Lepisosteus oculatus: one gene and its partners. The protein of the gene in region 1 interacts with the protein of each later gene in a biochemical or structural test. Links are inferred from orthologs where the notes say so. Each region holds a gene or a part of one and is shown in the gene's direction. Other genes may lie near its edges.

What was found.
Region 2: the proteins of cebpb (region 1) and smad4b form a complex in vitro, tested with the Homo sapiens proteins (2 studies listed by BioGRID and IntAct). The link is inferred for Lepisosteus oculatus from reciprocal best matches to the Homo sapiens genes CEBPB and SMAD4.
Region 3: the proteins of cebpb (region 1) and ddit3 form a complex in vitro, tested with the Homo sapiens proteins (2 studies listed by BioGRID and IntAct, with this or other methods). The link is inferred for Lepisosteus oculatus from reciprocal best matches to the Homo sapiens genes CEBPB and DDIT3.
Region 4: the proteins of cebpb (region 1) and kat2a form a complex in vitro, tested with the Homo sapiens proteins (2 studies listed by BioGRID, with this or other methods). The link is inferred for Lepisosteus oculatus from reciprocal best matches to the Homo sapiens genes CEBPB and KAT2A.

Annotation. Positions count from the first base shown.
Region 1 is NC_090711.1:12,165,786-12,172,857, reverse strand, and holds cebpb (CCAAT/enhancer-binding protein beta), read left to right. Parts: upstream 1-4,644; 5' UTR 4,645-4,866; coding exon 4,867-5,754; 3' UTR 5,755-6,299; downstream 6,300-7,072. Other genes in the region: peds1 (plasmanylethanolamine desaturase 1), read right to left, coding at 1,194-1,335. UniProt on the Homo sapiens protein: Important transcription factor regulating the expression of genes involved in immune and inflammatory responses. Also plays a significant role in adipogenesis, as well as in the gluconeogenic pathway, liver regeneration, and hematopoiesis.
Region 2 is NC_090698.1:14,987,058-14,995,054, reverse strand, and holds the start of smad4b (mothers against decapentaplegic homolog 4), read left to right. Parts: upstream 1-4,505; 5' UTR 4,506-4,691; intron 4,692-7,997. Other genes in the region: elac1 (zinc phosphodiesterase ELAC protein 1), read left to right, coding at 1-193. UniProt on the Homo sapiens protein: In muscle physiology, plays a central role in the balance between atrophy and hypertrophy. When recruited by MSTN, promotes atrophy response via phosphorylated SMAD2/4.
Region 3 is NC_090696.1:18,053,499-18,061,157, forward strand, and holds the start of ddit3 (DNA damage-inducible transcript 3 protein), read left to right. Parts: upstream 1-4,565; 5' UTR 4,566-4,738; exon of another isoform or gene 4,739-6,036; intron 6,037-6,414; 5' UTR 6,415-6,466; intron 6,467-7,456; 5' UTR 7,457-7,474; coding exon 7,475-7,627; intron 7,628-7,659. UniProt on the Homo sapiens protein: Multifunctional transcription factor in endoplasmic reticulum (ER) stress response. Plays an essential role in the response to a wide variety of cell stresses and induces cell cycle arrest and apoptosis in response to ER stress.
Region 4 is NC_090723.1:5,255,944-5,263,506, forward strand, and holds the start of kat2a (histone acetyltransferase KAT2A), read left to right. Parts: upstream 1-4,481; 5' UTR 4,482-4,527; coding exon 4,528-4,755; intron 4,756-5,549; coding exon 5,550-5,673; intron 5,674-6,055; coding exon 6,056-6,201; intron 6,202-6,831; coding exon 6,832-6,921; intron 6,922-7,563. Other genes in the region: rab5c (ras-related protein Rab-5C), read left to right, coding at 217-339, 616-709, 1,722-1,837. UniProt on the Homo sapiens protein: Protein lysine acyltransferase that can act as a acetyltransferase, glutaryltransferase, succinyltransferase or malonyltransferase, depending on the context.

The DNA of each region.
Region 1 (7,072 bases):
AAGGAGGGCATCATGGGAGACACTTCTCTCTAGATATCAAATGACTTTAGGGCAAGAAAATATTTTCGACCTTGCAGTTAAAAACTGCCTCAATAGCATAAAAACAATGTGTTTGGTACGTGACTCACTGAAACTTATGAGGACAGAAATATTGGCTTCTGGATCTATTATCTCCTGTTTCCTCCCACAGTCCAAAGACACTCTGATAGGTTAATTGGCTTCAGGGAAAATTGACCCTGGTGTGTACGTGTCTGTGTCTGCATCGTGATGGACTGGCGTCCCCTCCTAGGATGAATCCTGCTTTGCACACAATGGTTGCTGAGATTGGCCCCAGTCCCCCCGTTTTGACCCTGAATCGGATGAAGCAGTTAGAAGCTCCCTCAATTACAAATCGCCATCAATTCAGACTGACTGTCCTCGAGTAACTTCTGAATAAGACCCATAAGGACTGTGCACTCACATAGACATCTATATAATTAAACATTAAAAAGGCAGCTGGTGGCGTTACTTCTTAAGGAAAATATTTAGATCATCCAACACCCTGTATTTTTTAATAGTTGTTGGAATAATGATACCTCACATTTCATTTCCAGCAGTCCTAGTGTCTAACTGGAAAATAAAATCGTTAAACGACTCTACTTATCGAAAGCACTAACGCTATCATCCAGGTGGATGCTGCACATTGGTGGCGTTGGAGGGGATCCCCATTACCTGTAAAGCGCTTTGAGTGGAGTGTCCAGAAAAGCGCTATATACGTGTAAGCAGTTATTATTATTATTATTAACACTGTTATAACAATGCTCTGAATTTGTGCCCCGTCCATAAAGCCATTGTTCACTCACATAACAACAACCGCATCACGTGCGGATACTATATACAGAACCGCGGCTGCCCACCCATGGTTACGACACACCCTCTCTTATTTAACACTGTATCTTAACAATTACCTGGACCTGGTAAACCTCATTATTTTCACTGACTTTCCTGCCGTGATATACATAAACAACTGCAGAGAATCGACAACATATATGTCATTTCCTTACATGCTCAGCTCCGGGTGAGTATACTACTCCACGGAGCCTGTCGGGTAGCAGCTATTCATTCTTGTATAAGTGAATGTGAATACCAGGATTCAATCGCAGGCTGCTCATGTGGGTGTGACGCCCGCTAGCCCGCTGTCACCGGTATCTCACCTGGAGAGTACAGCTCCGCCAGCTCCCGGGCACCTGCATGCTGCGGGCCCCACCGACATTCTCCCCTGCCCGGTCCCCGCGGCTCAGGGTCTTCTTGGATCCCATTACTCTGTAACCCGTCTCCGCTCCCTGCTCTCGCCATGTTCCCCAGCAAATCCAACCCCCGCCCGGCGAGCGAGCCAACTGGGGCCCCGGCATCACGGCCTGGCCACGCCCCGTACCCTGGCATCAGCCAATCATTTCTCACCTCCCTATTCCGCTCGACCAATCGTCGAGGTCCGGACGGGTGACGGAGCGCCCTCGGTCCACCAATGGAAATGGCCCAGCAGAGGTTGTATTTCCTGGCCACACCCAGCCCCAGCCAATCAGAGAAACGGAACATGACACACTTCGGGGGTGGGCTGGCCGGGAGAGGCGTGTGTCTGGCTCGCTGCCTGCGTACGGCCGTCTGTGGACATTGGACACATTCCAGTTGCATGGAAAAAAAAAGTGGTGCGAATTAAAATATAACAGCATGACATCAGATCCTACTTTGCTCATACAGACGGAAGCCCAGAGTGCATTTTGCACACTACGAAACAACCACGGGTTCTCGTTGCAGTCTGGTGTTCATAATCAAAGTGTCATATAAAAACTATCCGCAATATTTCTAAATGACATCTGCTTTTAGGGTTCAGCGGCCAGTTACATTAAGGAAAGTACATTTAAATTTTGCCTTCGTGTTTCCGTTAAGCGTTCCTTAAGTTTAAGGGTGTTAACAAAAAGGCATAACACCTGAAAGTCAGTTTTAAGCACAGCTGCACGAGCAAAGGCATTAATACCTTAGGTGTTTCAAATCTTTATTTTGAAGATTCGGCTGCTCGGAGGTGTGTTACAGTGGTCCCGAAACTGAAAGGGTCGTGACCCACGTGTTTTTTAGACAATCCATATGTTTCTGTTTCCTGTTTCATTTTTAACATGCGTTTTCATTCATGTACCTTTAAATTAATAATCCCTCTGGTTATCCGTTTCGGATAAAATCGCCAAATAAACGCAGTGTGCCATTCATTTTTTGAATCACTTATTACAGTTTAGGAGACATCGCTCCTAAAAATGTGAGAACATCTGTCAGTGAACGAAACTCAACAATGAGTAACCTAAAATTATTATTTTATTATTTTGGTACTGTGCTAGTCCAATGCCAATACTGTGCGCAGAAGAATTCTCTTGTTAGCTAGGAAAAAGCAAAAATAACAGAACCGTTTGAATTAAAAATCACAAATCGGAACTGTTTGTATTAATTTTCTTATTTCGCCGTCCATCCATTTATTTTCTAACCGTTTCTTCCAATTCTGGGTCGCGGGTGAGCTGGAGCCTATCCCGGCAAGCACCAGGTGCAAGGCGGGGTACATTCTGGACGGGACGCCCGTCCATCACAAGGCAGACAGATACTAACACACACACACACCCACCCCAGGGCGAATTTTTACAGAAGCCACTTAACCTACCAGTAAGTCCAGTAAGCATCCGGAAGAGACTCACGCAAACACGGGGCGCACATACAAACTCCGCGCTGATAACACTTCGGGAATTTAACCCCAAGGCCCCAGCGCTGTGAGGCGGTAGTGCTAACCACCGTACGATCCTTATTTCACTAAGCAATGAAGGTGAATTCGACACGAGTACGGTCGGTCATACAGGTGCTGATAAGGTTAAGCGCTGCGCCGAGCTCCTCTGACGTAAGAGGCGCCGGTGTTGGGTGTGCCGACAAGTTAGTTCAGGTTTCAAGAAGTCTCCCAGTCTGCACTTTACCTCGAACCTGTCAAACCGCTAGCAAGTCATTAGCTGAACTCCAAAGTCACCACATCCAGTCGTGTTGTAAATCCCATCTCCCTGCAAACTCTGACCAGTTTGAAGTCACGATTACCACCAGTCCCCGAACGAACTAACTGAATAAAAAAGCAAAATAAAAATACGATAAAAGAGGTATTCTAATGAAACGTATAATAATATAACGATTTCCTTCAATCGTGGATTTATATTTGTTTTGGAATCCATTTGTGAATCTCATGTACTATGGGACAGCTATATAATAATCATCGTCATCATCATCTTTGTGTTTTTTTAATTTTTATAACAATTCCGTGTCAGGCCACAAGGGGGCGATATCATCTTTTTTTATCCGTCCTGCGTATCGCTCGAATGCTTCGGGCCATCATACATTTCTTTCCAGTCCTCATTTTTTTTTTAGTTTTGCTTTACGCGTCTGCCCTGTGCTTGAGTTGACTTGAGTGTCCTCTGCAGTTGCAAAGGGCTGCAACTCCCTTGCACCCTGGCTCAATGACACGCCAAGCAAGTTTCACATCCTTTTCAAATACGCACAAATCATTCTGGTTTAGTGATCGCTGTCGGTGCTCAAACATGCACAGGAAGAGAATTCAGTCTTTTTCATAAGAAACTGGGGAGCTGAGTTTGGAACAAGTAGTCAATAGAAGACATGAAACGGACTGTGGCAGTAGTCATTTTGAATTTTTTAAAATGTCTGAAAGGTTTCTTTTTGTAAAAAAAAATGCAGATACGAGACCTTTTTTTCCCTTGAGCGCACCAAAAGGCCTCCCCCGTTGTTGTAAAACAAGTTTACAGAACGACCTTTCACTCCCTAACATTGTCGCCTGGCATTGGCGATCGACGCGAGTAATGTGCTTGTAACTAGAGCTAGGAGCTGTGGAGCAATGTCCAAGCTGTGGTTGGGCTTTTGGTTTGTCAGCTTTGAAAGAAAAAAAAATGCAACAAGAACGTTTGGCCATTACAATTGCGTATTTATGTTTTTATTAGTATTTTATGTTTCGCCAGCGTGTGTTGCGCAACAGGACGGCGGATCCCCCGACTTTGACACTACAGAAGACCGACCCCCGCTTTTTGGCAGGGACCGTAGTTTGGGAGGGAGGATTGAGCAGTGAAAGACATCCATGAGAGAAATTCGGCACTTAGGATGGTTATCGCTCGCCGTTAAACAACAATATCTTTGTGTCAATGAGCAATTAAATAAGAATAATCAATGGTACAGGACATTACTGTAAAACACGCAGTGTTGTTTGATCATTTGAACGCAACGATTTCTTATGTCACAACATGGTGTATTAAAAGCCCCCTAGTCTCCGCACAGAAAAGGGTACAGCTCACAAGTCAATGTTTTTTTCTCCAAATACACAACATTAAGAGAAGCGCCGGTTGCCTTTTTTTATTTCACAGCACTGCGTTGCTCTTTTGCAGGTCCATTACGAGGGCAAAAAAGTTCAGAGAAGCACTGGGGAAAAAAAAAACTAGTTTGATCTTGAAACGAGCTCTCGGACTACAGCGTCGAGCTGATTTGCTGTTCAACCGGTACAGCCCGTCACGCCGCCACCCTGCCCTGAGGTCTGACGCCGCCCTCTTTCCAGGTTCGCTATATATACGCTGTTGCAAGCGCAAGCTGTCGAACTGGACGCCGAGCCGAGCGTGTGGGCGCTGCCAAAGACTGCCTCCCAGGACACACCGATTGAGCAATCGCCTCGGACGTTATTAGTATTATTATTTGTAGGCAGACCGTGCACCCCAGTTCGCCCGCTTTTCCCCCTCTGCCAGCAAAGCAAGTCCGCCAGGGAGCTCCGTCCCTGATCCCGATGGTCCCGCAAACCGGCGGGTGTTAAGATCGATGGCAGTGGCGGGCTTTTACGACGGGGATTACCTTGCGTTCCGAGGTGTTGACAGCAGCAGCAGCAACAACAACCACCACAGCAGCAGCACAGGCTGCAAGCAGTCCATCGGCGGTTCGATGACGGAGCTGGGCATCGCCGAGCACGAGAAAGCCATCGACTTCAGCATCTACCTGGACCCCGCCTTGCCCTTCCAGCAGCAGCAGCAGCAGATCCCGGTCGAAACCCTGGATCAGCACCACGGCGGGGACATCTTCTCCACTTTTCTTGCCGAAGACAGCAAGAACAAGCGTGCCGCCACCTTGCAGAACTACAGAAACTACTTGTCATTGAGCGCTCGGGGTGCCAATCAGGGCGACAGCCCGAGACCGTCGAACTTGCTGGGCTTCCCCGAGTTACTGGAGACGCGAGTGGACACCGTGTTTAGCCCGCAGCTGCTGGGCGGCTATATCAAGCAGGAGCTAAAGGAAGATTTAAGAATGGACAGGGGCTCTCCCAGTTACGAGATGAGGTCTTATCTACAGTACCAGTCGGCTCCCAGCGGCAGCATCGGGAACCTCTCCACCGCCTCCTCCTCCTGCTCCAGCCCGCCGGGCACCCCCGCCCCGCCAGGTGCTGGGGGGTCGCCGTCCCACGGGAAGATGTCCTCGGGCAGCAAGGGCAAGAAGAGGCTGGAGAAGGACAGTGAGGAGTACCGGCAGCGGCGGGAGAGGAACAACATCGCGGTGCGGAAGAGCAGGGACAAAGCCAAGCAGCGCAACATGGAGACCCAGCACAAAGTACTGGAGCTGGCGGCGGAGAACGAGCGCTTGCAGAAGCGAGTGGAGCACCTGTCCCGGGAGCTGGCCACCCTGAGGAACTTGTTGTCGGCGACCGGACAGTGCTAGCGCCGTTGCGGGACTCGGTACGCGCGGCCGCCGCTTCAACTGCGGGGGTACTTTTTATATTGCCAGCTGGAAAATACTGGCCCCCCTTTTTCTCTGGGAAGTATTATTTGTAACTCAGATGTTTCTCTTTCCCTAAAAAAGGATCAAATTGTTTACCAATTTACAAGGGAACCGTATTTCTGAAAGCGTGTGGGTGTTGTTTGCTTGGGAACATGGAATATGCGACTGATTGTTGATAAATTACCACTTGTGATACCATGTCTGTTTGTTTTTTTCAAAAATTGTTTACTGTATTTTTATACGAGTTTTAACGTTTAATATACTTCTGTGTTATTTAAGAAATGTTGATGAAAACACGAAGTGTACGCTCTTTTTTTTAGCAACGGTTGTCAAGGGAGTTGGATTGCGCAAATGATGCAATCCGATGTAACAGTATTGGCAATGCAATGAAGTAATCTGTTAAAGATGGAAAGGTATATACAAATTATAATGAAATGTATAAATACTATTTTATTGAATTAAAAATATTTTTACTTTGGTGCAAACTTTGTTTTCGTGTCTCTGTTGCTTATAGCGCAAGTTGCGTGAATGGCTCAGAAGAGGTCTTGTAAGCCGGTGCATTCACATGATATCTGAATGGGGTTCACCGCTATTTTCCTTCACTGAAAAGGCACCTGTGAAGCTGTGGTAACTCGTGGCTCTGAAGATACTGAGCTGCCGAACGCATTCATCCTTTAATACAACCCAGAGCTGGTTAAGAGATTATCGTAGGAGCTACATCGAGCTCAGCACAAGAAAACTGAGTAAAGGCGTTAAGTTTTGCGACGATAGTGTGATCTGGGAATTCTTGACAGTGGTGATATCGTCTGCAATTTCGCAGTCTAAACAGTATACAGTCTAAAGCTGCAGGACAACAAGATCCAAAAGGAGCCTATGTCCATTACTGTATCAAAGCAATACACTCGAGCCTAAAGCATTAGATCAATATATTTTCAGTGTTTAATGTAGTTATGTAAGAAAATTGACTATATTTCATAGGGTAAGATGAAAATTACCTTTACTGTGACCTAGGTTACATAAAATATTTGGAAATGGTTTAGTTTCATTCTGTTTTTGTAATTCTCAGACACTCATGTGTTGGTGGTAATATTTTTTTCCCCATGCACAAGTTCTAATTCAGTATCGCAATTTATAGCACATTCCCAAATGAGCACCACAGGAATACTGTAACACCTGAACACTTCCGGCCCCTTTTTCCGAGATCTGATGTGTCAATTTAGGAAGTTTTAGCCTGCATGTCAAAAATCTGTAATCATGT
Region 2 (7,997 bases), on another chromosome or scaffold:
GGCATGCCAAGTCAAGCAGCTGGTACTCTACCACTTCAGCCAGAGGTACAAACCCCAGAGCCTCCTCAAGGAAAAGGAAGACGACAACGTCCTGGAGCTCAAGAGGCAGGCCGAAGCAGCTCTGAACGGCAGGGAAGTTATCCTTGCCGAGGACTTCTTAACGATACCTATTCCCAGCAAAAGATGCAATTAGTTTTTTTATAAATAGAATTGTTTTTATCTGCTGAAGTGTCATGGCTATTTTTGTATATGATGACATTGACTTGAGGTGTAAAACCTTATGACCCCCTAATTTTAAATGGCTTTGGTTGGAATCGTTTTTATTCAAGTTTTCTTATAGATAATTGTCAGGCATTTTAGAAAATGCATGCCAGAGAAAATGGTTTGATGCCATAAAGTGACTGAGGTCCTGGTGTCCTGCTCCTTCTTTGGAGACAACATGACAGTACAATCACCACTGTCCACTGGAAAGCAGGCTTGCTCAGTGCTCGGTATGTCGGCATGGCTCATCAGACCCTGTCCTACAGATGCTAGAGTGGGAGCACCATGCGATTCCGCTGAATTATTTTGAGGGTGGTTATTTTAGTATGGTGGGATGGGGCACTTATTTTGTATTTAAAAGTGGATCTATTTCATGCAATAAAAGTTTAATTGATCGTACTCTAAACCTGAATCTGATATCAGTGGAGGTTAAACTGGGTCTTATCTGTTCTAATAAGTGCTACTTTTCTTGTTCCTTCAGTGCTCGTGTTTATCAGGTCCAATGCTGCTGCTCCTTTTCTCTCTTTATGATGAAATACCAAGCTCACCTTGGTAATGCAAAGGGTCTTCAAGACGATATCTAGCTTGAAGCTGACAGTTAAGGTCTTCCCCCATTAATGTTAAATGGAAGTGTAACTGCAAAGCGATGGTGTTTCGCGGTGAAAAGCTGAAATGAATGTGGGTGAACCAATGTGGTGTGTGTGGGCCTGCTTTGAAACCTTTTTTACTTTAAAAATAAAAACGGTCTAGCTTAAACTGTTTGAAATGGATTTTGCCAGTGGGTGCCCTTGTGAGAACAAGGCTCCTTTTAGTGTGGAATGCCATGTAGCCTTCACCCACATTAGTGACTCACGGTGTTGTTCACCGGCAGCAGAAACAACCAAGACAATATGAGCGTCTGAGATGGGAGAGCCTGAGGCAAAATGAGAGCTTCTTCCAGAGACACAGCAAGAAGATGTGGTGGATTAGTATAATTATATGCTTTGAAACAGTCAGCCATAAACTGAGTATATAAAGCATCCTAATCCCCCTCTGCTGCCCTAGTGGCCTCTTAGCCTAGATACACTGTTCAAACTGTGAGCCAAGCTCTGATTCAGTTAAAAGAATGAGTACAAATGTCTTATAATAATAATAATAATAATAAACTTTATTTTATATTTTATATTTTAAACTTCTAAAATATCTCAGGCACTTCTCTCAACAAGCAACCAAGTAACGACACAATCTAAATTTTTGTGTTCGAAAATCAATGGCTCACAAATCTGTAAAGGAAAAGAACTTGAAATGCATGACCCAAATACTCTTAAGACTTTTTGTAACAGCGCTATTGGTAGCTTTAGTGAGAATTTCAGTGGGAACTGAACTTAGCTCAAAAACAAAGAAGCACTCCATTCCTCTTGTGGGAGGCATTCATGCAGTATTTCCTTGACATGAGTTTTCTCAAAGCCTCATGATTTGGCCTATAAATATGAGAATTATGGAAATACTCCTTCAGAATGTGTAAAAAAACATTGCACATGAATTCTTTCCATAACATGCATGTACATGATAAGAGATACATTTGATATCTGTTTTTCTCACCTGGTGTAAAGATATGAGGAGTTACCGTCTGTATGAAATTATGTTAGTTTTTCATTTTGTCCTAAGACATGAACTGTAAAACCAAGTTAATTTATTTTTCTCTATCTTTAGTAAATGCATCAGTTTTCTTTAAATGCTTTAATCACTGTTTTCCTCTTTGTTCAGTTATTACTGTAAAAAAATACTACTGCCAAGTCAGCATTTTTGTCTTATTATTTTATGAGATCCTTTAGAATCAAAATATTTGCAATACTACAGTGGTATGGCCATGTAATGAGATGAGATCAAGACCTAATAAAAGACGAAGTAGAAGAGGGTATTGAGGGAAAGAGGCCACGAGGAAGACCAAGAATAAGCTGGCTTGACTCAGTGAAAGAAGATAACGGTAAGGCGGATATTGATGTAGATGCCTGGAGAGACAGGATACGATGGAGGAGGCTAGTGGGCGAGGCAATGGACTGGCTTGGGTTCGAGATGCCACCTCAGTAAAGTGAGTAGAATCATTTTTATGCTATTACACTCTGATAGTCAGGAAACCCTTGTCTTCTGACTATATGGCAACAGAAGGCAGAATATCAAACATTATGTGGCTTTAGTGAAAAGCAGCATTGTGGAAGAAAGGAACAAGTAATAGGCTTATTCCATGCTGAAAAGAGAAGAAAGAAAACGCCTTGGGTGTGAGAGAAGAAAATCTAATTGTGGAAGAAATCCTTATTTTCTGCACTGTGCAGTAACTTGCAAAATCTCTAGATTGCCAGTCACTAAAGGTTAGACTTTTAGGCAAAAAAAAACTGGAAAATGTGCACCCTTTCTTTGTAGTTCAGCTCCATTTTTAGATGGTCCAAACAAGGTACTGTTTCACTTACTCAACATAAGTACACAAAGCAATTTTGGACCTTGACACATCAACATTCTTTTATCATATATCAAATATATACCTATATATTTCATTTTATATCATCTCATCTCTGATACAATTGCCAAACAGAGGTTCACAACTGGTTTGCAAACATTGTACCAGGAGGATATGCAAAAAGACGGAGATCCTACTCTGGACAGCCTAAACTGCAAGCTAAACTTTTCATGGTGTCTTTTTGCAGCAGTGAAAAAAAAACTCATGGCTGGTACTGAGCATGAAGTTTTAGGATTCAATATAGGGTGGGTGATTACATTATTAAATTGACACATTACTGACTTGCTTTTGATAATATGGGTTAAGTAGTCAACAGAATCTTACAGTGAAAAGATCCACATTTAAATCAAAGAATGTTAAAAGTGAATGATATGTTAGCACATTTAGAATACTGTGTTCGATTTTGCAGTAATCGTGTCAGAAAAAGGTAACTGCTTCTTGGAAAGACTTCATAGAGTGATGACTAGGATCGTTCCTGACTGAAAGCATGTCTCTCTCTGACAGATCAAAGTAGCAGAGTCTCTTCAGTCTTGATAAGAAGAGGCGGGATTGACCCAAGTATTTGAGGTCTTGAAGTGTACTGATAAAGTCACTTCCTGTGGTTTACTTCAAGCTCAGCAGTGGCACATGGAGCATGAATAGGCATTAACTGTAAGTCAAGCTTAAGAATAAACACCGCTGGACTTTTAATGACATTTACAGTATATCTCACTGCTGCTGAAGGGGCCAAACTGCCAACTAGATCCTAGTCCCTAGGATCTTCCAAGAAAAGGCTGCTTTCAGTTTCATTAAACAGAAAAAAACATTGAAACAAAAAAATACAGAAAACATGAAGGGGTAATGACTTGCATTAAAAAACTAGAGGGCGAGCTTTAATGAAGTGAATGCCAGTGCATTTGTCTGTTAAAGACTTCAAGAAACATTCTTAAAATGGTCTAATTTAGAAGATAATTTGGTTGGTGGTTTCTTTGACTACTCAGATTCGAACAAAAATCTCCAGGCCCTGGGAAGAACCTGGAATTCAGCAAGTCCTTGAGAGCAATGAGACCCCAAATCCGAGGCACTGAATCCCTTGATATTTCATTGCCCACTATATATGACTTACTGTCAGGTTAGTCAACATCAGAGGTCATGGTAGTGTTGGGTGAGAAAGGTGCACGCAGACGACAGATTTGAGGAACCAATTTAAGAAATGTTTTGATGAAAACAAAATGATGGCATGGCTAAATACAGGTGCTCAAGACTGCATGTAGTGCTACAATATAAATAACAGAAACAATTGACAGTCCTGCACTGTAACTAGAAGAATTTATCACGCAACCTAAGGCCTAGTGTTAAAATTTGTGTAGTTATAAAATTACATTCTCTCATCTGATTAAATCTAAAAGATTCACATTTATTTAATAAAAGCGGAATGTCAGCACTCTATGCAAGAATGCTGCTTATCATGCAGGATCTACTTCTGACAATTATCCTTACCTGCTGTTTTTATTTTTAGATATTTTACATCACGAAGGTATGTGAAACATCGCGAAGTAAGAAGCACGCATAACACGCAGTGCCCACTCATGTTGTGTCTAAGTGTGTTTTTGCACATTGCCCATAGCTCGCTCCAAGAAAGGGAGCGACTGTTACGCGCCATGGCCCGGGTATCGGCGTGAAGTCACATCTCCTTTCTGCTGGGTCCTGAGTGGGCGCCGATGGTGCCAAACAGCGCTGGAACTGCGCACACACGCCAGGCCGCTCCCCGCCGCCCAGTGCGCAGGCGCCGTGCGCCATGTTGATACAGCAGCACCAGCGGCGGAGGCGGTCGGATGGAGGCTCCGTGTGAGAGGGGTGGATTTGTTTTTTTATTTTGTTGCTCGCCGTCCCGTTCAAAGGCGCACGACGATTCCTAAACCCCCGGTGATACCGGATCCCGCTTCCCCTTGGAAAGGTGAGGGACTGGGCCGGAGCGGCCCGCAGACCGGCGGGGAAGAGGAGTATGGGGAGGGGTGGTGGAAGAAAGGAGAGCAGGGCGCTCCGCCGGCGGGGAAAGTAAAAGTTTGTGTTTTTGTTCTCGGCACTGGCGGGCCGGGGCGAGAGGGAGAAGGGTTTGGAGGCACAACAGCGTCCGTGGAGGGGCCGCCGTGTGCCGGCTGCGTTGCGCGGCCCTCGCTGCTGTGAGCCGAGGCGGCTCGGGGGTGTTTTCGGGGTAGCGGGGTCGGGCTGTGCCGAGGCGCTGCTTCTGCCCGCTGGGGCGGCGGGGTGTCGCACCGAATAGCGTCCGGCTGCACACGGCCCCCTGCGGGAAACGGGACTCGCTGTCAGGGTGTTGGAGAGCTGGGGTTGAGCTCCGGGAGTGTGTTGTTTTTTTGGGGGGATTGAAGAGGGTGGCGTCTTGATCTGTTTGACTCAACGCACCTCTCCGTCGGTAAGATCGCTCCACACACTTGCGCTTTTCTCTGCAGCTGCGCTCCTGAAAAGCGGGCGTCCCGGCTTCGGATGTGTGCACGGTGTCGAGGAGATACCCCGCTCGCGTTTGCCGAGTTTAGGGGTTGTATTTTCCCTGCCAGCCGGTTTAAATGGGGGAAGTAATATTGTGCATTCTCGTAGCTGCTGTTTCTCTGGGTACAGCTTTTCCCACGCACGGAGCGCTGTGGTCCGCGTTCACTCGTGTGCTGTCTTGACGTGCGGGATCAGACCGTTTCCAAGACTTCGAGGTCCAGAAGCTTGTTCCTGTACTGCTGTCGGTTAAAAATCGATCATCTCTTATTATTTAATTAACAGTTGAATTGCGCGTTCGGTGCAGTTTAGGGAAAGGTACCCAGTTAATGCAGGATCTTCCCGAGAGTGACATCTTTCCAGACGTACCTCTGTTGTGCTTCCAAATCGTGTAGTGGACTACCGGGCGGCGGTCAAGTTTGACGTGCTGTACAATTCAGGATGTTTCATAGCGCTACGCGTGTCCCAGAAAAACCTAGAGCGAATGACTGGCCCTGCTGGGGTCGTCCAACACTTGGACTCCGAGTCCCAGCTCATTTTGTGTTAACCCTTGGGTGACAAACGAGGTGTCGTAGCCTTGGTTCAAATCATTTGTAAGAGACACCAAGACATTTCAGCCCGTTTCCACACTCTCCCCCAAGTGGCTTTGAAGCCTGTCTAGTGACCTGAAGGGTTGCTTCACTGAGCTCATTTACTTAAAGAGGACAAATTCAGCACACTTTCCAAGCCTCAAGTGGGACGAAGTGGGGAGCTTTGGAGAGGACTCCTTGGGGCAGGCAAGTCCTGCTTGCTTCTCTGTGCCCTGCTGTTAGGAATCAACGTTATGACTCCTGTTTTCTAGCATTACGAGCCCTTTCACGTTATACAAGCCAGTGACTTATGCATATAAGCCAGTAGGCGCTGAATATTTCGTGCCACTTCGTTTGCCTTCATTTAACATTGCCTGCATTTAACACTCTTCAGCTGTAATGGTGAAGTGCATCTTTTTTTAAGTAGTAGTAGTTAATTCTTGTCAATTTTCTGTAATTTACTGGCCAACACTTTACATCATAAAGGAAGTGTTAAAATGTCACCCCGTGTTCCCATGATGTTTTTGTTTTTTAGTAACTTGCTGTCCGGTGGCTTTTGTAGGACGTACATCCTTCTGTTTTTGTTAAACCTTCAGTATTTCTCCTCAGAGCAGGATTTGTTGAACGTCTGCAGTCCCTGCCTGTGCATATCTGCCCACACTGCTTGTTTATAAGCCTTACTGGAAGGTCTTGGGTAGAAATTGTGGGATGGGTGTGTAAATCTTTTTTCAAGGGCAGATTTGGGAAGAATCTGCGTGCTGGAAACTGGAGTTTTGATCTTTGTGCATATGTGAATGGGGCAGGGTCTTCGTGGCATGATTTGTCAACATCGGGTGAACTCAGTCTTCTGGTTACTACCTGGAATTTCTGTTTTTATTTTCATTGATTTAATTGTTGTGTATAATGTTTTTTTTTGTTATGGTTTTACAGTTTTTAGATCTTATTTTGTACTTGCTATCAAGGCATGGTTTCAGCATTTTCCTTAGTCATCGCTGTGGTTACATTAATTCTATTCCTGATCCTTGGTAATGAATGAGAACTTTTTAGAGTAGAATTTTTTCTCTGAGTTTTGTGGTAAAGAATATTGTGCTGCAGACGTGTTAACCAATGTGACTGATGGAAAATGTACAGTCCTTCTGTTTTTCATGGTCAAAAATGTAATTATGTAGTTCAATTAAATAGGACAACACAGTGATACTTGGAGTCTATTGAAATAGAGTACAAGGCAAAGTAACAATTCTAGCAGATGAACAGTAAGATGTAGAAAAAAAAACTGCTCCTGGTTTATGAAACATTCTTTTTGGTTTTTTGTAGCACTGCTCATGTGCATGTGCTGAGCATAGGAACTCTGACTTGACTCTCCGTGTGTCAGAGTTCTGTTTGGGTCTTCTAGTGAAGAGGAGTATCTTACTTTTGCTTCAGTGTAACTGTGTTTTTTATTTTGTCAAACTGTGGCATTAAGCAATATCCTTCTGCCACGTGTTTCTGTTTACCAGCTCCTCTGTGTGTGAACGAGTGAGAATGAGGCGGCCTGTGCTAAGCACAGTGATTCATCCTTGACTCAGTGACTTCCTCTGTGTATTAATACCCAGTTGGGTTGTTCACCTCCAGTAGTAGAGGGCATTAATAATTGTCGATTCTCCGTCAGTGCAGCTTATCACTGTGACCTCAAGCACAAGGCGAGTAATTTGTGAATTACTCAGATCCATTTATTTTTTGCTTTTATCCAGAGTGACGTAGATATATGCACCATGTATCACAGCTGGGATTTTTCTGGAACAGTAAGTGTGAAGTACTGAAGTACCTTGATCTGGGGGTACACCAGTAGTATCTCACCTGGGGTTTGAAAGCACAGCCTTGCAGTTACGAGTCCAGAGCCCTACCAGTTGAGCCACACTGCTGCTCTTGTTTGAGCTGGGCCATGCGTCTGGGTTCTTGTCACAGCAGTCTGCTGGTGGTGCAGCTCGGATCTGGACTCTGGTAGCCCGGTCTCGAAAGTCATGGTGTGGATCAGTCCTTGGAGTATTTTGTGTTCAGGCCCCCAACTTGACATTTTATTAATCTTTGAAAATGGTACTTTACCATAGATACTTTATATTTGTGTTTTATATGGATTCCGGCATTGCTAGTTGATAAACCTAATAATTCTAGTGTCCCATGCAGTGTAAGTTATTATACACTGCTCTGTA
Region 3 (7,659 bases), on another chromosome or scaffold:
ATCTTTTTAGTGTTACTCGCATATTCTGAGAATAGCAATGTGACGATAAGGAACTGTTTGTTGTGTTTAGACTATTAAATCTGTACTGGGTTATAATTGAGTTATAGTGAACGCGGCATCAAAAAGACCCGTATTATCTATGCACATTCATGTAAGGTGTACACCATGCGCAGTAAGCGGGCCTAGCGGGCGTGTCGTGTTACCTGCTCACGTATTACTAATTTACGTGGAAATCTAGGAAGAATAAAACAGAAATGGAAGATTAATTATTAATTAATTTTCAAGCACGAATTAGTTTTAGAATTGGGTCTACTCAACAGAATAATACTATAGTATATTGTAAAGTAGACCGATTCCTTGTATTACGTCTTGGTTGCATGTTCAAAATACGGATAATTTCTTATGCCCGTTTTACGTTTTTCTTCGGGTTCGTGTTTTGCAGTCATGTTACGAGAGGACAAGATATTAGAGTACAATCCAGACTTGTCGCAAGTAATCCGACGTCCGAGCTAACCAACATTAAATATACGGAATGTATCGAGGCTCCTAAGCCAACGATAAATCGCAAAAAAAAGGGAAATGTCGAAACGTTGTCGCCTGCTTCCTGTAACTGTTAAGAAGCATACGTTTAAAGTGCATTTTTCTGTTGCTTTTTTAATGCCGATTTATACAGGAAGGGAATTAAGCCGTGACGGTAAGATAGTCAAGAGACCTCATCTCCACCGCGGCGTGGAAGCTAGCGTAGGCACCGCGATAGCTGAGATGACACTTCTGCTGGTGCTCAGCCGGACCGCGTCTGGGCCGTAACACGTTTATCGACTGGGACAGAAAGGATTTTACCTTAAGCGTGCATTGGCGTGCAAAACTCTTCCCCCGACTTTTTGTAAAAATACACAAATAACGCTGCTCGGTTTAGGGGAGAGCATTATTTCCTGTGTCCACTAAGGTGTTGTTTCTAAAAAAATAAAAATCGTATCATATCATCTGGCGTCTTAATCGTTCCTGTCCCGGATGCCAATCCAAACAACACCCCGGAGCGCTGAAGACACAACAGACCCGGACCCGCGGAGGGATGGACACAAGTTTTTTGACCTCTTCCGTTTGGGTGAAGCCACAAAACATGTGGCGGACATACTTTCTCTCCCGGCCAGTGGACGAGAGGCGCAGGTGTGTACCTGGGGGGCAGACCCGGGCCGGACACACACACGAAGCGTAGCCAGCTAGCGGGTCGCTCCGCTGTTCCTAACCTGTTCCCAGATTTTTTTGCAGTTTTGCCTCCTTTAAAAACAGACGTGTTTCTTTCACTGTCAGAATTAAAGCACCGCAGCCCGCGGTGCCGAAAGGAGAGCAGCGGGAAAAGTGAAAATTTCCAGGCGATTCCCCTCTTACCAGTGTGTTAAACCCGTACGCGTCTCTGAAGGGCGTGCGCGTTGACGCGACCAAAACAGTTGACATCTCTATCCCTTGTCAGAGACTGGGCTCTGTGGTTTTCTACCGTGAATCGTACGCACCCAGTTCCCGGCGGATACTTAGGTCGAATTTCACTTTAGCAGAGAAAACCCTCTTTTAAAGAATCCAGGTTACTGCCTTTATCAAGTCTTGCGCTGTTGTCCGCAAACACTAGTTTGTCCTATACTGCTAAACCGCTGTACCTATAAATTAGAGCTCTGACGTTGCGCAATTTCTGACAAGAGTTTTTCATTGGCGCAATTATAACAACCCGAACAATAAAGCTTGCAATTCTATGGGGGCATATTGGAAACAAACTGAAGGAGTGGGAAAAGGGACTCTTGTCACCGGAGATCATGTACAGATGTTGTTATTATTCGGCGACAGCGTCGCTCTGCAGAGGGACTCGGGTATGTGCCTGCTTTTCGCTGCGCTCACAGCTCGTGCTGTTGCTAGGGCCCCCCTTAGCCACGGCTTGCTGGTTGGTCTGCGCTCGTGCGGCGTTGAGGCGCGCTTTATCCAATTCAGGGTCGCGGGGGAGCCGGAGCCTATCCCGGCAAGCAAAGGGCGTAAGGTGGGGGTACACCCTGTACAGGACACCAGCCTATCGCAGAACAGACACACACACACTGGGGCCAGTTTCCCCAGGAGCCAATTATCCTACTAGCGTGTCTTTGAACTGTGGGAGGAAACTGGAACACCTGGGAGAAACCTACAAAGAACATACAAACTCCACGTAAACAGACAGACAGCACCCCAAGGTCACAGCACTGCGAGGCAGCCATGATAACCACTGCGCCACCGTGCCGCCCCTGCGCTTTATCCAGGGGGGATACGAGCAAAGAAATTTGACAGCTAAGTGGTATTTTTGAATACCTGGTCCACGTTTTTATTTGAATGAAAGATAACACATTGAGCAACGCGTATGTTTCATTTTGTCGAAGCATTCGGGAAGATTATAATAACAGCCGCATTAAACGCCTCGTTGTGCACTTAGCCCTAACTTGTTACCTGTTACACAATACTCATGTTCGGCTTCCTGTCTCATTCCGAGACAGATCGGGGGCTTTCGTAATGTTCCGTTTTTAAATTCATAACTTGTAAACAGTATTCTGACTGATAAAATGTACATCTATTTTCAATCTATTGCGATGCACAGTGTCACGCATTTGCTTGGTTGTTTTAAATAATTCTTAAACTATTTACTCCTTTTCTGATGCTGAATTAGTTACGAAGAGCAGCGATTCGAACGCCGATTTAAGGCCACCGAGAAGCTGTTGGGTCACTCCTCTGTTCCCTGTGCTACAACATCTCCTTTCATCACTGCAGAAAGTGAAGGAGTAAAGTTCGGGCTTACAGCTCCCACACCCACTCAGACATCTGGGGGGCGGGGGCGAGATCACCGCAGCAGCCCCGAGGAGAACAAGACCCAGATGTTAGCCAACATCTGGAGAGGCCGTCTTAAGGGGGCGGGGGCGACATGGCTCTCCCTCCAGAAGGATTGAAAGTTATTAATATCCCGACTGCAGCCTTCCAATAGAAACAATCAGATCATCTAAAAACCAAGTTCCACACCACACGGAATACAGTACTCAAATCCACTCCCCTTTTAGAGTCACATTCTTGAAAGCGTGACTTCTGCATGAAACGTTTCGTGCGAACAAACCAGTTAGCCGCACTTCACATTCCTACAGCGAAGTGTATGTACAGACTGATGATGGGAGTAAGCTGCCATTGCATAAAAATAAGCAGACAGAAGTCATCCTCTAACGAATAACTTTTAATAGCCCACGGTACCGTTCTGCTGGTATTCTTGCATTCAGATTTGTGCTTTTTTTTAACGCTGCTTAATTAATCGTTGTAAATGAACTTCCCCGTGTGTTGCCGTCTGGCGTTACGAGAAGAAAAAAAAAACGACAGATGACACCAGAAATAAAATTTTAAGTCAGAATGAGCCGATAACTCAATTTTTTTTTGCGATCGTGTCTGCGGTCCTGCCCGAAGCTGCCATTTTCCCGGAACTTGGAGGGAGAGCTTCTCGAGCTACAGGCGGAAATGACTTTGCAAAAGTACTGGTTTCAAAAGTAAAGGTTAGCTGATTCATGGCCACGGGGGACAGTGATAGGCTATTTTTCAACTTTTTTTTTAACTATAAATACAAGCAATACAATAATAAACACAAAGCGTTATATTTTCTACCGGGTTACACTAAAAAACAAAATATAAATAATAGTACAGTAAAATAGCTTTTGCTCAGATTAGCGTTAATAAAAGTCAGTATATATTCAGGATACTTATCTGAAAACTTCAGAGTGCTATTGAAGTTCTGAGTTATGACCAACTTTTAAGCGCGCATTTAAGAAAGCCTGAAATTCATTATATACAACTCTTAAGAAACACTGCGATTGAGTAATGAACGAATTTTGTTGGATCAGGATTTTTTTCGGCGTGCGGGTATGTCTGAGAGCTAGTTATCATGGCGACTACTACGACATAAAATTCACAGGCAGGGAATGAGGCTGCTTTCGGAAGACCACTGTTAGTAAGGAAGAAATACTCCCGGTTTTAAAACTGCGAGGTTTCACGGTGCTGAGAGGGACTCTAAAATCAGCACTTTTCTGCTGGAGACCCCCCGTCCCCGAAAATGTTCTCCCCAAATCCTCATTCCCACTTGAAAAAAATGACGAAAACAAAAGTTCTCATTACCAGCCTACGAGTAAGTTACACGCAATGTGGTCTTAAAAGTTTTAAACGCCGTTCAGAGAACGGCACCAAATCAAAGTTTAACAGGTCGTCTGCCTGCTTCTCCTTGGAAACCGGTTGCCAACGATTGCATCATTTCACATGACTCCCACATGCCCCGGCGTTCGTCCTAGGCGTCTTCTGACTGCATCACAACTTCTTCGGCACACAAACTATACAGCCCGCGACAGCTAGCAAGGTTAACTAGGCCCGCCCCCTTCTTTGCCACACATCTTGGAGAGCTGAGCATCTTCGCCCTCTCATTGGATATCACTAAGCGAAAGTGCCCTCGAGCGCTGCGTGGAATGGACAGCAGACCTGTCAATCACAGCTTGACGCTAAGCAGTCAGACTAGACTGTCACCTCCCCTGTTGTCTCAAGTGGTTTGGTTGCTCCAAGTATATAAGCATCGCCGGGAGTTTCCGAAATTCACATTCAGTGACATTACTGAACAATGGTTAACATGAGCTATCATCACTCCACACCAGAAAATAAAAATTCTCCGAACCACAGACAGTCAAGAAAGCGAAATAATAAAAGAAAAAGGGTGAGTGTTTTTTTTTGTCTATTCTGAATTCCAAGAATTCCAAGAGCTTTTTCGCTCTTTTCTGGACACGCTGTGCTAACTTTAACTTATTCCCTAGCGGTGAGGGTTGAGGTTGTGGAAAAAATACAAGCAGGGACATGTTTTGGCAGAACTCCCATGTCCGTTTTAGGAAAACAGTTGTTATTCCCGTTTTAACATTACGAGGTTTTCCTTTTTGTGTTGTGTTTTTTTTTTAATGACAATGTTCTTTCGAATGTGGCGACTTATTGGTTTTTAAGATGTTCGATCTTGTCTTGAATGTGAGCGTTAAAAAAAAGTTATTCTATTTTTAGTTACCTTTTTTTCACGTCTATACCTGAATTACAACCTAGGAGCCAATTAATATTGAAATAATGTCAGTGTAATTCAAGCTTAATTTAATAAAACCTCACACTGTTTCAGTGTTTCGCTAACCAAGACGTCCGTATATCGAATGACTGGGACTGTCAGTTTATATATATATATAAGTTTAGGAAATCGATTAGGCTTCAAATGTTTTAATTCATGTGTGTTCATTCCGTACTGGTTTAGTACTACAAGTGAATTTGACTGTTAATTATGCTTCCCAGGAAGCGTGATCAAGAGCCTCAGACTGCCTTTGTGTGTCTGATTCCATTACGTAATACAACCACCCGCACTCGATGAACAAACAAGCCGAGGAAGAAAATCGTCCTATTGAGACAAGGTTTCATTAAAAAAAAAACATGCATACTAAACCATGTTTCTCCGATGCTAGCTGCGATAGTTTCTACTGCTTCCACTGCCTAGCGTCCAATATATTTTCTAACACCAGGAGTAGAACGCCGAGTTTACTGTTTCGGTGTGTACAGAACAATAATTACATAAATGCTAAACAGAGAGGAATTATTGTTGTGGTCGCTCTCCTCTGAACTGGTAACGGATTTGCCTCCGTGAGTTTGGATAGTGGAAACTAACTTGAGCCATGAGGGGAACAGTGTTTTTCTGTTCTTATCCGCGCTGAGTAAAGGTAATCAAGAAATAGCACCATGGAGACAAATAGAGCGCCATTTAATGACAAAGTGTATAGATTTTTAAGAAACGTTTCAACTGCGCTGGTTCACCTGTGTGTCGTTAACGAGCTCCTTCCACCTGTGCCCCGTGCTCGAGCGCCTCCTCGCCGCGGGGTTAAGCGAGGGATCAGCGCTGTAACCCAGACGACCGCACGGGGGCGCTCGCGAGCGACGCCGATGTTTGCATGGAAACCAGCGTGACCTAAATTTCACAGTGGATTTAGCCCGGTAGGAAATAAACAAGTCCCTTGTCCAGCCATGTTTATTTATTAAAAAAAAACAACATTTTAAAACGTCCCACCTGGAGTGAATAGTTATAAACGGCAACAATTTGAAGTGTCTGAAAATTTAATGTGACATAAAATATTAAATGTAACTTTGATGCAGATCGTTTTCTTGGTTATCATCTCAGCACATCACAGAATGCCTAAGCATGGGCGTGTTCCAATCAGTCCATTTTTATCTCGGATGCTGTCTGATATGTGTGACAGAAGCTGTGTAAAATGTGTGTCAGCCTGCCCAGCTGTAGGTTTTGATTCTGCTGTAGGGGGTATTCAGATTCTTCTGAGTACAAGATATTAACAAAAGATATTTGTTTTTCCCTAGATCGTCTCTGACACACCAACACCGCCGAATCATCGCCAGACTTGATTAAAAGGTGAATGGTGCTGTTGTTTTTTTAGGATAAGAAGCAAAGAGTTATGTTCTAGTACTTGTGAAGACTGGTGACAGTTACTTACCTTTGATAAACCCGTATAATTTTTTTTTTTTCCCCACTTACTGAGCTATATAAGGGAGTAAGAGATGAAGGTGTGCTATGAGTTTTGAAGCCGCTTGCAGTATCAAACTTTTAAAATTATAAACATTATACATTATAAATGGGGCATGTTTTCAAAGTGAATGTAAGCCAGCAGGCTGCGCTGTTTCTCAGTCTCAATGCCACCCCCATAAGTGCACCGCAGCTTGTCATATTATTACCTTATAACTTACACTTACACTTTTATATAGAGTTTTTCAGGACACTCCAGTCAAAGTGCTATACGGGTAATGGGAACTCGACTCCACCACCAGCAGTGTGCAGCCCCAACTGCACCAGTACACTCGCCACACACTAGCTATCGGTGGAGAGGAGAACAGAGTTGTACTATATTAAAACATCTCTGTTCGGACCGGAATTCGCAGACAAGAGGAGGTCATTCATCAGTTCTGTCCCGTTTGCTCATTGGTACTTGATTGATCCCAGGATCTCATCCAGCTGTTTCTTGAAAGAAGCCAGGCTATCGGCTTCAACAACATGGATGGTTGGCTTGTTTCACACTCCCACCACCCTTTGTGTAGAGAACTTCCTCCTGTTCTCAGTTTTCAGTGCTCTTCCATGTGTTTTCCCCCACTTATGTTCTTTAGTTCGTGTCGCTGTTCATTCTGAAGAAGTCCGGTGGGCTGACTCTCGTTTGTGACCAAGATTCAAAATTGCCTTCAGACTGAAGAGACTCGGGTCCTGCAGCCTGTCGGTGCGGGACACTCTCTTCAGACTGAAGAGACTTGGGTCCTGCAGCCTGTCGGTGCGGGACACTCTTAAGTCCTGGTATGTGCCGAGTTTCTCCTGTGTGGACAGATTGAGTGAGCTGTTTTTGTCGTCTGGGTGCAGAGCGCAGCGCGGTGCGACATGACAGCAGAGTCGATGACGTTCTCTCCATACCCCCCTGGCGTGGGGCCGCTGTGCGGGGCGGAGCTGGAGGCGTGGTACGAGGACCTGCAGGACATCCTTTTCTCCGACACGGGGGACCTGAAGAGCGCTCAGCCGGACCACTGCCATGAGGTCAGTGTCTCGCGGTGGCTGGGGAGGGAGGA
Region 4 (7,563 bases), on another chromosome or scaffold:
TTTTCCTGTTCTAGACGTAGGAGTGGTACATTCTGTAGACTGACAGTGACAACGGCTGGGCCTTAACAGTGGTTGGAGTTACCACGATGCAGTGCATGGCTTGCTTAGCCAATACAGGATTGTTTTTTATTGGGTTAACTGCATCTCCAAAAAGTCGTAATTGTTTAAATGATTTCCAAGGGAATAGCACTTGTGCGCTTTTCTGCTTCTCAACAGGACACATTTGCACGAGCTAAGAACTGGGTGAAGGAGCTGCAGCGACAAGCCAGCCCCAACATCGTCATCGCCTTGGCGGGCAACAAGGCCGACCTGGCCAACAAAAGAGCTGTGGACTTCCAGGTGAGCTTGTTTTCTGGCACGTGCAGGAAAACCACCTTAAACACAATCCTCCCGGAAAAGGTCCTCGAGCTACACAACACTGTACGCCGTTTTCTCTGTCGCCATCAGTCGACGCGTCCACTTTACAGCAGACCTTGCGTTCGTGTGCGGAATACCGCTTTGACGATGTCTGGGGTGGTCAGTGGGCTGAAACACGCCAGCGGGGGGGGGGGGGGGCGACTCGGGTACAAGCTCCGTAGACTCATCGCCACAAACGTGTCTCGTCGGTCTTTCCAGGAAGCGCAAGCTTACGCCGACGACAACAGCCTGCTGTTCATGGAGACATCCGCCAAGACGGCGATGAACGTGAATGAAATCTTCATGGCCATAGGTACAGTATCTGCCCCTTGGTGGGGGGGGTCACCCAGCCTGGACTATTGTCTTGCAAAATGCAAAAATCAGTCTCATTCAAGTGAACCCCCACCATCACACTTGTGAAAATTCGCCCTGCCCACATTACCACGATGCTCATGGTACAAATAGCAGCTTTGTGCATAAGTGTCTGTCAGGTCCTACGTGTACACTTTCAAGCTAGAGAAATGTATTCATTTCTATGTCACCTTAAGTAAAGAATGTATATTTGGACTTCCCTGGCTGGGGTACCCCCTTTTTCCAAGCAAAGACCTGCAGGGGGTTCCCTCTTTTCAAGCACAGCTGTTTGTTTTCAAAGTAGGTCCGTCAGTGGAGAAGTACTGATGACAGCTGGTGCATGTTACTCTAAATAATATTATTATTAATATTAATTGCTTACACCTATATAGCACTTTTCTGGACACTCCACTCAAAGCGCTTTACAAGTAATGGGGATCCCCTCCACCACCACCAATGTGCAGCATCCACTTGGATGATGCGACGGCAGCCATAGTGCGCCAGAACGCTCCCCACACACCAGCTAAATTTGGACTCTTGCGCCCAAATTAATATTGGGGGTGGGGGGAGAGACGTTGATGGTGTCTGGATCGCCATCCAGGAATCCCGATCCTAATCAGTATCTGCCGAATTGTCATTCCAGCTCAACTCTCGGTGAGTGCTTCGCTGGTTTAAATATATGTTGGTTCTCTTGGCTCCTAAAAGTGAAAATTTAATTAAGGTTACTGGAACGTAACCTCAGTGTAGGAGATGAGAAATCTAGTTCTAAATCAGAAAATGACTTGAACGGAGGGCTCCATTAATGAAGAGCAAGACTGAAAATGGGCAGGCCTCTGCAGTCGGGTGGGCCCAGGTTCGAGAGGGCTCATGCTCCCTGGATGCCAGTTTGAAAACCTGTGCTATGGGTTACTGAGGGTCGCGACCCCTCCAGCAAAGCAGCGCCGCCTGAGCTTGCCGTGTCTGTTATCTTGTAGCCAAGAAGCTGCCGAAGAACGAGCCTCAGAGCGCAACGGGCACAGCGGGCAGGACCAGAGGGGTGGACCTGCAGGAAAGCAGCCCTCAGAACCGGAGTCAGTGCTGCAGTAATTGACCCGCCGAGAGGCAGCGGACCGAACAGAACCACCCGACGACGTCGCGCAGATCCACCCGAGCCCATTCTTCCCGATCGCACTTAACGGAGCGTGCAGCTTTGTGGGTTTTTTCTCCTCCCTCCCCACCTTGGTTTTGCTGCTTTGATTTTTTTTTTCTTCTTTTAAATCATAAGCTGGAGAGAATCCATTCCATCAGCCTCTCTCTCATCTTTCTGTACAAATACTAATTCAGTGGTGTCTTAAGTCACTTTTTAAAAACAAATGTATTATACTGGCTTCTGCTCTTACCTTCTTCTCTGGTGGTGGGTGCATGTAGCGAATTCTTTTTTTTTTATTTTTGCCCCTCTCCCACCTTCCACCCTCGTCTTTTGCCCCTCCCCAGCACAAAGGCACGGGAGGGTGGGAGAAATTGGGGGAGTTGCATCTCTTTCCAAATTAACCATCTTGTAGATTATTATTGATATTATTACTATTCTGGCACAAGCAAAACAGGATATAATGAATAGGATAGGCCTAACATGGTTTTTGATCATTTATGTGTAAGAATCACAACTATATGCATAGTGCATTAACAGTCATTATTATACCAGTAAGTCATTTTTAGCATTAATGTAACAATTTTTCAAATCTGTTGAACTTATAAAAATGGAAAAAAAAGCCAGATTTTTTTTCTGACCAAAATCACACTTACGAGTATTGGAGATTATTTTGCTGTATTTGTATTGTATATTTTTTTCTTCAATATGTAACCAATCAGTACTTAATGGTCAATACAGTACCTTCCCAATATATAAATGTATTTTTTGTCATCTTTATTTTTGTGTTGGAAAGCATGAGTTTTCTTTTTTTAACTGGTCCTGTTTTTTTTTTTTAATTGGGGTTTCTGTTGTAACATGCACTGGTGCCGTCGATCAGGTAGAGACTTTGCAGATAACATCTTGTCTTTGTTTTTGGAGTCCTTTGGAATCGTGCTGTGTTGTCACTAAATGACATTAATGACTGGCACAACAGAACAAAGCTGTCCTGTCAGCTGGAGTGTGCTGTCACTGTGTGGCTCAGCTCATGTGTGGAGGAGTCCTGTTTTCAAGTATGGGGAGGCTCATTCTGTAATTCTACCAATAAACATGGAGGGGGACGTGTCTAAGCAGTGTTGTCCACTGAATTTCACTTGCACGCACGGATTAAAAACAATGACCAACAAAGAGTCAATACCACAGGAGTCTGACGCTGTTCACTCGCACATTTGAGAGATGTCATTGTTAAATTTGCCCTTAAACCAAAGCAAATAGGACAATTTAACAATTACACCTAATTACAGTGAAACTGTGCAAAACTTTTTTTCTTGAGTGTCAATTGATTAGATGGTCTCTGGTCCTGCTGTCATTCAAGTAAACAGTCTGCTTCATTGATCAGAGAAACTGCAAATTAATGATGGATCATTGATTAACATCCTATAAATTGTTTCACATAGGCACAAGGTCATTTTCTATAGATTACTATAGTCTATGCTGTGTATAGTATAAACCTCAGATTAATTGAAGCGTTATTGAAAAAATGAGACATGAAATAGTTTCCCAATCCCGGACCAACTTTAAAATCTTGTCCCAGTTTTAGGTGTCCAAGGATTTTGGTCCACCTCAGTCTCCCCATTTAATGTAACTTGCTGGATGCCTCAGAATCGAACTTTGGGTTTTTACTGCAGGCAAAATGTTTAGAGGTGGTTCAGAAGTCACAGAATTGAAGTATATGGATATCACCTGCTGTGATAGTTTTTGGTAGTTGTGGTAGCTGTGGTATCCTGGTCTGGTGAGACCACAATGCCTTTTGGTTTTTGTACCAAGCTGATTAATTGCAAGCAAAATTAGTTTATTTACATGTGCATTTTATTTAATTTTTAGGTCTTATAAAGTTGTGTGTTTGGGTAGCTCTGTGCCAATCCCAAGGTTTGAGAATTCCTCTCATTCAGGCGTCAGTGGAAATGCAGCTAATCCGATTTAGGGAAAATAAGTCACTTCCGGAGTATTAAATACGTTAACAAGTTCCTTAGCGCTGCCTGGGCTTTGTACTGTGGATGAGACGCGATACAAATGTACGACAGGCGTTGTTTCTACGCGTGAGAGCTGATTTTGGCTCCATTGTGTCTGAATACACATTTCGCTCGCCAGACCTTTTTTTTTTTACCCTGGTGACATGTTAGATGCTACACCTTTCTAAATAACACAGCGAATTTTAATTCTCCTTCTACCAGCTTTTTTTTAATTACTTTTCACCTGAATCCCACCTACTCCAAAAAGAATATACAACAAAAGCCGCGTCAGTAACAACAGAGTATCGCTGCCTAGTGGTTAGGAGGATTAGCACATCCAGCTGGCACAAATAACGTTAAATTAAACATGCATGATAATGACCAAATATACATTGGTCATTGTCATGCGTGTTGTTCATTCAAGTCCTCCGGCGTAAGCCATATCCCACAATGAGAGCTCGTGACCTTATTTATTAAAAAGACCCTGTATCTAAAGCAATTTCGTAATTTAAAACAATCCATCTAGGCAAATGTAAAAACAAACGGCAATTCCCAGAACGCCTTTCGGTGACGCATGCGCAGTTTGGAGCCAAGCCGCCATCAACAAAACTTTATTGTTCACAAACACAACGGCAGGAGAGACAATCGACTGCGGCTATTGCTATGGCGGACCCGGCGGCGCAGGCCTCCGCGCAACCCCGGCTGCAGCAGCAGGCTCAGCCCGGCGGTGCGGGAGCGTCGAACACGAGTTCGGGCTCCGGATCCGGCAACAGCGACCCAGCCCGGCCGGGTCTGAGTCAACAGCAGCGGGCCAGCCAGAAGAAAGCGCAGGTCCGAGCTTTCCCGCGGGCGAAGAAGCTGGAGAAACTCGGGGTCTTCTCCGCCTGCAAGGTAAGTCGGCGGCGGACGATGGGATGAATGCACGGTGTGGGGGGGCAGGGGCGGGAGACCCGGGCCGTGTGCCCGCTGGGCGGGCTGTCCCTCCGGCCCCTGCAAGCGACCTGTAGGTGTGTGTGTCGAGGGCCGTGAAGTGATCAATGAATGGGATCGCTCTTCAGCTGATCCAGAGCGGGGCGTTCAGCGTCGCACCTACTGGCCCGCTTCCCAGCACACAGCGTGCAATGCAAACTGGTCCAGATTACGTTTCTGTGGAGTTTTGGCATTAAAACGTCCCTGTCATGCTTAACTACCTTCGTTTATATTTGCCCGGTGTCGTCTTAACCCCGGATAACAAGTGAAGCAGCGATGATATCCGGCTATAATGTTGTTACTGTGATTCCAGTCCAAATCGTCTTTTTAAATCCCAGGCTCATTGAAATCACCAGAACTCGCTACAGTTCAGAGCAGTTTTTTTGGTCTGAAACTGAACAATTGGCCGGCAGAGAATAATTATACATTTAATTATTAGTATTTTATTAATTGACGTTTTCAAGCTGACAGTAGGCAGAACATTAAATTGCAAATCGCAAATTAGACGCAGTCAACCTACTGAAGTTTGGTTCCGCAGTAACATTAAATCAGTATCGATCAGTACATTTTTTGTGCATTGAGTGCAATGATTTCTATTTTTATAGGACCGCTTGGTCGCGCCGTGGTAATGGAAGATGAACGGAGACCGATTTTCGCGCTGCGGAGAAACGCTGGAGATATGATCTCGTATCTGACTGTTTGTCTTGTCTTTGAAGGCCAATGACTCCTGTAAATGCAATGGCTGGAAAAACCCTAACCCTCCCACTGCCCAGCGGATGGATCTCCAGCAGCAGGCAGCCTGTCTCAGTGATCCCTGCCGCAGCTGTGGGCACGCTTTAGGTATCGCCTCTCCGCCGCCCTCTCCTTCAGATCCGCTGCATGCTGCCGGCACTGGCCCGACTTTGATACCTTAGTGTTTTCTGAATATGGCATACTGATTCTCTTAACAAGGTATCTTCACATACTCTGCTAGATCTTTGAGTGTTGGTTTCCTGTGTGCATAATAAGGCATTGGCTGTAAGATTAGGACTTTAAATGAAAGAATAAAGAAAATGAGATCACTGGCTGCACTGGTTAACATCTAAATTGTTTTGGTTACATATGAATGTCTCAGGGAGGAAATCGCCAACTCGTGAAATAACGCGTAGTGTTTCGCCCACTAAGGGGTGAAAACCTCGTATGGTAACGCCAGAATCCTGCTCTTCTTCCCTGCTTGGCACAGCGGATCACGTTTCCCACCTGGAGAACGTCTCCGAGGACGAGATCAACCGCCTTCTGGGCATGGTGGTGGACGTGGAGAACCTCTTCATGTCCGTGCACAAGGAGGAGGACACGGACACCAAGCAGGTGTACTTTTACCTCTTCAAGGTACGAGCCCTGCTGCTCTCTCGTCTTCTAGCGCCCCCTGGGGTCCAGGCCTCCAGCCTGGGAGCGGAGCAGGTATTGTAGCCCTGTAGTTGAACCGGCCCGGCCATCTGGACATAGGCCATTTCATTTCACCCCCTTCCGTAGGCCTTGAGCTGCCGGTGACTCAAGGAGACCTCTGAAACGATACAGGTAATCGGAGCTAGGTGGCACAGCCCGCGCAGCAGCCACTAGCCCTGGGGAGGAGCAGTGGCACTGTGGCTAAGGATCTGCCCTTGTGGCTGGAAGGTTGCCGGTCCAAATCCCGCGGCCGGCAGAGGAATCCTACTCCACTGGGCCCCTGAGCAAGGCCCTTAACCCCAACTGCTCCAGGGGCCTGCGTGGCGCTGGCTCTGCGCTCTGAGCCCAAGCTTCTCTCCCTGTCTGTGTCTCATGGAGAGCAAGCTGGGGTCTGCGAAAAGACAAATTCCTAATGCAAGAAATTGCACATGGCCAATTAAGTGATCTGGTCTTATCTTGATTTGGAAATGTGTTCCTTGTGGCCGTGTCTTCCTTTCGGAGATGTCCAGGGCGAGCTGCGAGGCTCTTCTCAATGGCCACTCATGTGCTTGCGTTCTCCCCATGTCTTCCCAGCTGCTCAGGAAATGCATCCTGCAGATGAGCCGGCCAGTGGTCGAGGGCTCTCTGGGCTGCCCTCCCTTCGAGAAGCCCAACATAGAGCAGGTGAGGTCTGTAGCTAGCGCCCGGCGAGCCGAGCGCTTCAGAGATTGCGGTGGTTCGAAACAGTGTTGTTGTATAATGTGCTCCGCATTATACCGTCATCCCTCGCTTTTCGTGGGTTCATACTTCACGGTTTCGTTTATTCGTGGGTCAAAAAGAAAAAAAGAATTTGGGGAGCTACCGGGCAGGCGACGGCGTTTCCGCAGGCCCGCGTGCCTGGTGTGTTAGTCTGCTTCTGAGCCTTTCGCGTCCGTTAACTGTTCTCTGACACGGACCCTGGGGAGCTGGAAGAGCCTCTGGAGGAGGACGAAGATGAGTTCACCGAGGAGGAGCTTGACGAGCCTCTCAAGAGCGCCGGTGAAGAGGAAGAGCAAGACCGGCAGTGTCCCCCCGAGCCTTTTGCAGCTCTATTCCAGGACCTCGGAAGACTGGAGGACAGAATACTGCACTCTGACCCTTCAGTGGATAGGCGCGTTAACGTTGTTCGGCACCTGGAACAGGTCTTCGAGCCGTACCACGTGAAGTTCAAGGGGTTGAAGGAAAGCAAGAGGCAGCTCCCCATCGCAGTGTTTCTGCAAAGAAAAGAAACTCCAGCCAGCGAAAGTGAGCCGGTCGCAAAATGACCTTAAAAGTGAGTGAAAAACA